Caenorhabditis elegans: one gene and its partner. The protein of the gene in region 1 purifies or fractionates together with the protein of each later gene. This does not show direct contact. Each region holds a gene or a part of one and is shown on either strand. Other genes may lie near its edges.

Region 1 (3,595 bases):
TGTGAAACTTTAGTGAAAAATATCAAGAGTAAAATAAATACCTCAAAATCTAGATGAAAAAAAAAACAAAATGTGAAAAAGAAAAAAAAATTCAATTAAGGAGAGTTGGGTTACTGTAATCAGGACTGAATCCAATTTTTTTTTCGAAAACGAAAACGAAAATAGTTTTTTCGCCAACAATACGATTTTACAAAAAGACGAAAAACATCAAGTTATGTCAATTATAAACGTTTCTTTAAACATTTTGAGCAAATATGAATTTCGAATGTTATTTTCTATAAAAAACTTGAAAAATTATAATTTTTTAAACAAAATTATCTTTTCTATTTCAGAAAATCCCACTTCGAGCATCGGTCTCCACTGATTCTGGATTCGTAATGGTAGGAAGCGCAGACCGAAACGTTTATATCTATTCAACAGAAACGGGTGGAGTGACTTGCAAGCTTCCAACTCCTTATCCTGAACCGTCACATGTAGTTGCTTTCAATCAGAAACAATTCCTGATGACATCTTTAGGACGAGAAGTTATATTATGGGCACCCAGTGAAGAATACACTCAGAATCTTTAAACAAAAAGATGCAAATAGCACATTTCAAATCATTCCCCATTGATCTCGATTCAACATTTTAAAATTACGATATTTATAATTTTTACTCACAAAAACAACAATATGAATGTAACAACAAGTTGAGATTCGAAATGAAGAAAGTTCAATATCAGAAAGAATATCTTGATGACACCATTGCTGCTTCTTCTGGAACCATATAATCCAAGATTTCAGTAATAGTTGATTTCTGCTCTTCGGACATAAATGCGATTAAAAGATCAAAACGACTGAGTTCACTGATGATCATCATTCGTGCGGCGAGATGGGGAATCGTGCGACCAGTTTTCAGATGAAAGTTGAGTGCCTTGAAGATTTGAACAGCATATACATCGTCTAGGAGTTCATCGAATAATTCTGAATATTTATCCATGCTGATATTCTGAAACAAATTTCGATTAATTCTGAAACGTCACAGATTTCCAACTTACTAAGAAATATTCTGCAAGAGGAAGCAAACTTTGGGCTCTTTTCAACATATTCACAGCTCCAACAAAATCTTGATAGTCCTTTGGGTGTGGTGGAAGCTTTGTTATATACTTTGGAACAATATTATCATTCTCTGGTTCTTCAGCGACAATGATCTCCTCGATCTTCTCAATATTGTACGTAAAGTCGATTTTTGTGAATTTTTCATCTGATTGTAGATATTCGTCTCTTTCGATTGACGGAAGATCAATAACTTGCACATTTTTCTTTCCTTTCAGATCATTTGCTTGTCTCTCCATATTTGGATCATTCGAATATTTGAAACAAGTTTTCATATCTCTTTCAGCCAATTCATACAATTCCAGTGCTTTGAAGGCTTGAGCTCTTCTGTAGTAAGCTTTTGCTGCAGTTGAATCCAAATTTAGTGCAGCAGTACAATCGATTTGGGCAAGTAGAGGAAGATCTGCGTTGAGCCCAGCTTGAGCTCGATTACTGAATACAATTGGATCAGGCCAATGTTCAAGACTTTTCGAATAGATTGTCATAGCCTTATGATACTTTTTCTTCTTAAAAGCTTCGTTTCCCTGCTCTTTCAGACGTTGTGCAATTTTTTTTTCTTCGTCCATTTCTGAAACGAAATATTTTATTTCAAAATAAGGTAATTCACAAGTAAGCTCTATCTCCAAGAATACTTTTTATTCATTCAAGACACGAAAAAACCTTTTACAAGTACAGTAACCCATTCATCAGTATTCTGAAATCTTATTAGATTTTTTGGGGTTTTTCGAATAAAAAAACAAAATTTAAAAATTTAAAGAAGAGAAAAAACAATTTTCTTGTTGGTTTTTTGGGTTTTAAAACAATTAATTTCTTGTGTTTTGGGGTCAGCCCTAGCGCAGCCTTTATTTGAAAATTGTTTTCCGTGGTGAGAGCAGAAAGCGTTTTTTTTTTAAATAAAAGCAACATTTCACAATTTGGTAACAACAAATAACAATGCGATGGAATTATCTACCAACTTGGGTAAAAACAGATATTAAAAAAAAAAAGCAAGCATTTTATTTACAAGAATACCCGCAACGGTATTAAGTGTTAGTTTTTATTTAAAAAAATTTCAAGATTAAGTTTAAAAATCCAATCTATCACAAGAAAAAAGCATCTGGATAAGAAATAGACATTCACAAAAATCGAAAAAGGCAATAAATATATTTGAACAACTAAATTTGGAAATTTTTAATAGATCGGAAATCGGTTCGAAGTCGAACAAAATCATGAATCAATTGTCTATCAACATTTTCGAGCAACGAGGAGTGAGCTGTTTCATTAACTTGATCGGGAAGAACGGCGAGCAAATTGGTAAGAGCTTGAAGACTTTCCCATTGTGTCAGTGCATTTTGAACTCTCCATTTTGATACAAGAGTTCGAAGTTCTCCAACATCACAAAGAAGAAGTACAGCACCAGTAGAATTATATGTGAACTGTTGAATATGTGTAAGCATGAATTTGAATAGCCGAGTTGCAAGATCAGATTGAAGTGCTTCCAAATTTTCGCCATCACATCCCAACTCCATTGCAGCAACTTGGTTTGCAAGAAAACGAGATGCCAATTGACATTGTGGGGATACTCGAATATCAATTTGCTGAGAATCCGGACGGAAATCAGTTTTCTTTTGTTCGCTGAACAAGAATTTCACGTATCCTACGATTGAATTCAATTGCCGTTCCAATCCTAAACTCATTTTTGATTCCAAAGAACGCAGAGATTGTTGCCATTTCTTGGCAACAGATGGTTCGACAATTGTTTCTCTGAAATAAAATATATTTATTTGTTTTCTAATAAAAATTAAGCTCACTTGATAATAGGGAAAATGGGATCTTCAAATTGTTTAATCATAAGTAAAATGACACTGGTACATTTTGCAACAACCGAGAAAAAGTAGGCAGGTGGTTCAGTTTTTGATTCTGCAAGAGAAATTCCAGCCAAGCCTGTCTCCACAGCATAATCCAAATGTTCTCCGTAAAGATATTTTAATAGAACGTCTACGATATTTTCCACGTGTCTTGGCAGCTCTTCTTTGTCACATAACTGCAAAAAAGTTGAAATTTCGAATTTATTTTTGCAAAAATGCTAGGTTTTTTATACGTTAAAATTTTGAAAGAAGCTTGGAAAAAAATTCCGAATATTATTTCAAAACTCTCAATTTTTAGGAAATATACTCGGAAACTTGAATATTTTTTGAATATTCCTAAAGAAAAATTAAAACAAAATAATACAGTACCCCACCGTTTTATTGGTTTCTTTTGGAAAAAAAATGGGTTTCTTGGTTTTTTTCGAACCAATACAAATTTTATTGCAAAAATGTTGATTTTTAGTCGGAAAAAGGAAAAATTTTGAATTTTTTCGTTTTTTGGTCGAAAAATTTTTGCTGAAAGCCACAGGTGACACTGAAAATCTCGTAAAAAGCTCAAAACGTTTTTTTTTCTTGAAAACTACAGTAACCCAGCACTAATATTTGAAATTTGGAATTGTTGAAAACTACTTTGAAATATCGAAAAATTCGGCG
Region 2 (4,191 bases), on another chromosome or scaffold:
AGAACTGAAGACTCGCCGCATTTTCTAAATAATGTGAATGAAAATGAAAGAAATGAAAGAAAATACAAATGAACAAGAGGTTAAAAGTGATAGAATTCGGCTAAAAACCATCTTATCTTCCTCTATGTCATACGTGATGGGTTGATCGTAGTTGAAGAACTGGACTCTGATGTAACACAGAAAACGGGCAAACCAATAAGTTCAATGAAACATTGACATGAAACATCGAGATGGAAGACGCAGGATGAGAAACATTGAAAATAGTGTTGGTTTCTACGTGATGAAGACGAAAATGGAGAATTAGAGAAGAAATACGTTAAAATAAGCTTTTTCTTGTTTAGAAACCTTCAGAAAAATAGAAATAACTTTGCATTTATTGAGTTGTGAATTAGTCCGCTTTCTTACTTTGAAAATAATTTACTTCGAAATAGGATTCTGCACGGGCAAAAAACATCAAAAATGGTTAATTTTTGTTTTCATAGGATATTTTATTGACTGTTTCGTTGTTTGAACTTCAAAAAGTCGCAATATGCATGTGATGTTTTTTAGGATCGAAACGCTCTGGATCTTATTTTAGTTGATTATATCTATTCGGCGATTTTCAAAAGCAATAATATAGATTTTTTTTTAAATTTTAATCAGTAAAACAAATCTGAAAAATTCCAAAACTGGGAACAAAATCAACAAGTAGAAAAACAACGGCATTCAACAATAGAGATCTAGAAGAAACGCGAGATTACAGTATCACAACAGAATGTTTGCTGAAACCACTAGTGTGAATTTTTCGTGGTTGAATTTGGATTTGGCTGTGGACGGATTGATGTGAAATGGGAGTCCGAAATCATAAAGGCTGCGACTTTTATCCAACGTTACCAAGCATCGAGTGGGGTTGAGTTGGAGTTCTAGTCTGAAAAATATTAAGCTTTTAAAAAAAGCTTTCAAGTTATCAATTTTAGGTTTTTCAAAATCAGGTATTTTTTGCTTCTGCTTCTTTACGTACAAATTGGAAATTAGCTTTGTAGCCTCTTATGGATTAAAAACTTTTATACAGTTTTTCACACCTACAAACTTATCAATAATAAGTCTTGCACGTAAAACTAATATAGATAATAATGAAGTCTGTGTTTTTGAGAATCTTGAGAAATTCTAGACGATTTTGGAAAATTATTTATCATCGGGTAGAAATTAAATTACGATACATTTTTTTTAATGTTACGGCCTGTGGGGAAATGATTAAACACCATTCCTGCGGTGCTAAAACTGCGAAATAAATATAACTGTTGGAAAAATTTTGGAAATATGTTTATTTCGAGTCAAAAACTCAATTTTCACGAATTTTCTGAAAGTCGATTAAACAATTTGTCTTCCAATTTTATGTTTTAATTATGTTCAAAATATTCATATTATTACATTATAGGGTTCAAACATCCGACAGTAATTTAGATTTTTTTTTAAAATAAAATAAAAAAATAAAAATTTGTCAAAATGTTTTTTTTTAATTTATTATGAAATTTCGACATTTTAGCATAATAGGGATGGATTTCAATCATTTCCCCACTGGCCATAGTCAACATTTGAAATTGAAAGAAAAATCGATGATTTTAATTATGTGTTCACACTTTTTGAAAACTCAACTCGCATTTTGATTGTTTATATTTCAACTGAATTTAAAATAATGTACCCACCTTCTAGGATCTTTGATTGGTTCGCCATTAAGTTCACATCGCATACTGATTTCGAGTCTGTCACCATCAAAAAGTCGTATTCTTGTTCCATCAATGTGTTTCAGGCCAAACATCTAAAGGAGACATTTTAAAGTTAAAATTATTGTTGCAACAAAAATAACTAACCTCATTTTTCATTTCAGCAACATCATCATTTCCAACTTGCTTTTTTTCTTCTTTCTCCATTCTAACTTTATCTTCCTGATACATTTCTTCGACAATCTGTTTTTCTGGTTTTTTGTGAATTTTTTGTACTTCAAGTTCTCCAACTGAAACACGATTGCGAAGAACGATTGGTTTCAATGGGTCTAAGTCAATGGAGTGCTGAATTTAAGAATTATGTTATTTCAATTGATAAAATTTCAACTGACTCTATCCTTCACAAGATCGCAGAAAATTAGACAAAGGAGATGACGGAAGAATGCGTCATTTGGAGACGCTAGTCGTTTTTTATAGAATGTGCTGTTTACCAAAACATCAATCTAAAAACATTTCATACTAACAATCAAACATTTATAATTAAACTACCTTGATCGAATTTTCATCACTATGATCTTTCACGCAGTCAATTTCGCCAACACTCATCGGAATTCGAAATGACGGATTTCCAGCATCTAATTGAGCAGCAATTTCATCCTTTAAAAATAGTTGATATTACGGAAATAATTTCAAAATACCTACTTGATCAAAATCGTCGATTGGTGGCGGTAATTGCTCGCAATGGCATACATTTACAAAACACTTTCGGTATTCATCGTTTACAATTCCATTGATTTTTACATCCTTCCATTTACACACATAACCTGGAAGTGGTTTGATGAGCCACGTTTCCGCTTCCTCCTTTTTTTCAATTTTAAGATCCATCTGAAACAATTTCAGTATTTCCAGATATACGAAACCAAAAAGTATGCAAACGAGTTTTAACATTAAGTTTGTAAATCAAGATCAGGATCAATGACAAAAAATAGTTTATGATAATGAATTAATTGAGGCACTATACTCATAAATAATGATAATAAATTACTCAAGTATTTAAACTATTCACAAGAAGACACGACGTTAGAAAATGGCAAGAAGGGCGAAAACAGAGTAGAGAAGAACACACGGATATGCAACGAGAAGACGTTGGTGATCCATTGACAAAGCGATTACAAACAATTTTGATGAAGCAGAAGAACACCAAAGGACAGCAAGCGACGATATAATATACCCGATAATGCCCTTGAATGATAATACAGCTGTAACAATGCTCAGAAGAGCCATTGGAAGTAGACAATATCCAAGAACTGATGCGGTGCAGGTGAAGGAAATATTTTTCTCGTCCGTTGCCATGAGATTCATGAGGGCATAAATTCCAACGCATCCAAGTCCGCCAACTCCATAGATAAATCCAAACGAGAGTTTGCCGTGAAGAAGAAGAGCGGCTCCAAAAAGAAGACAGAAGACGAGAGGTCCAGCAAGATCTTGATCAGCAATAACTTCGACAGTTGCAGATCCAGTTGGATTTAAAACAGCAATAGTTTTCTCCTTGATATGTGAGAAGTTAATTCCGAGTTCTTCCAAGAGTGGTGGCTCATTTTCATAGTCTTCGCCATCAGCAGCAACACCGGCGTTTGGAATTGCTGAAAATTGTAGAATTAAAAATGCATTTCAGAATGAAGAATTGATATAAATATATATGTACCTCCCGTCCCGTTGTTTGGCATGAACATTTGTCCTCCATAATAATTGGTTTGTGGTTGTTGATATTGTTGATTTTGTTGATAGTAGTCGTTTCCAGCTTCTGAAGGTGAAATGATATTCAAGAAATTTGTTTAATTACAAATAAATCTCACGCTGCGGTGGCTGTTGTGGCTGCGAGTAATCAAATTGACCCCAACCCATGTCTTGTTGATTTGTTTGAGTGTTCCATCCTCCTGAAAATTATAAAACTATAAACATTATACTTTAAATAAAAATACCCTGTTGTTGTTGTCCATCATCCATCCAAAATCCATTCGACATATTGAGAGTATAATCAAAAATTTATTGAAATGATGTGGCAAATGAAGAGATTTTTCGTTGTAACAGTGAAGCAGTAGAGCGCACTTGTGTCGCGGCCTAGAAATGTTTGAACGAACTCTGGTCCGTGTACTCCTCTTGGACAACTTAATCTTGAGTGAAATCTTCCTGCGCTGAACCTGCTTTTAATAAATTTCAACACTTAGCTTCTTGGTAGTATCAATAAATTATGTCTTCATTATATGCATTGCTCCGCCCGATTAGAATCAGCTCATCGAACTTTCAAAAATGTGTAAGAAGTCTTGGAACAACGTCAAAGTGTAAGCGATTTATTTCAAATTTCAAATTATTGTTTCCATCTGAGTTTCAGGCAACGTCGAAGTTCTACCATTGTCAAAGATTGATAAAGATGACTTGGGACACTCCATTCTAATCCACAAGGGAACATTACCTCCCGGATCACAAA

The links. Proteins that work in one complex are often made in the same cells at the same time.
Region 2: the proteins of rpap-3 (region 1) and F32D8.4 fractionate together in Caenorhabditis elegans (co-fractionation; one large-scale study listed by BioGRID). This does not show direct contact.

The regions. Positions count from the first base shown.
Region 1 is NC_003282.8:7,777,304-7,780,898, forward strand, and holds rpap-3 (RNA polymerase II-associated protein 3), read right to left. Parts: upstream 1,663-3,595; 5' UTR 1,661-1,662; coding exon 1,037-1,660; intron 988-1,036; coding exon 718-987; 3' UTR 636-717; downstream 1-635. Other genes in the region: swd-2.1 (Anaphase-promoting complex subunit 4-like WD40 domain-containing protein), read left to right, coding at 333-569; sec-10 (Exocyst complex component 5), read right to left, coding at 2,249-2,837, 2,885-3,117.
Region 2 is NC_003283.11:10,890,973-10,895,163, forward strand, and holds F32D8.4 (PIH1 N-terminal domain-containing protein), read right to left. Parts: upstream 2,589-4,191; coding exon 2,406-2,588; intron 2,361-2,405; coding exon 2,253-2,360; intron 2,207-2,252; coding exon 2,096-2,206; intron 2,049-2,095; coding exon 1,851-2,048; intron 1,799-1,850; coding exon 1,686-1,798; intron 908-1,685; coding exon 745-907; 3' UTR 625-744; downstream 1-624. Other genes in the region: F32D8.12 (D-lactate dehydrogenase (cytochrome)), read right to left, coding at 1-21; F32D8.14 (Protein YIPF), read right to left, coding at 2,784-3,346, 3,409-3,507, 3,560-3,640, 3,686-3,728; F32D8.5 (Transmembrane protein 70 homolog, mitochondrial), read left to right, coding at 3,955-4,045, 4,090-4,191.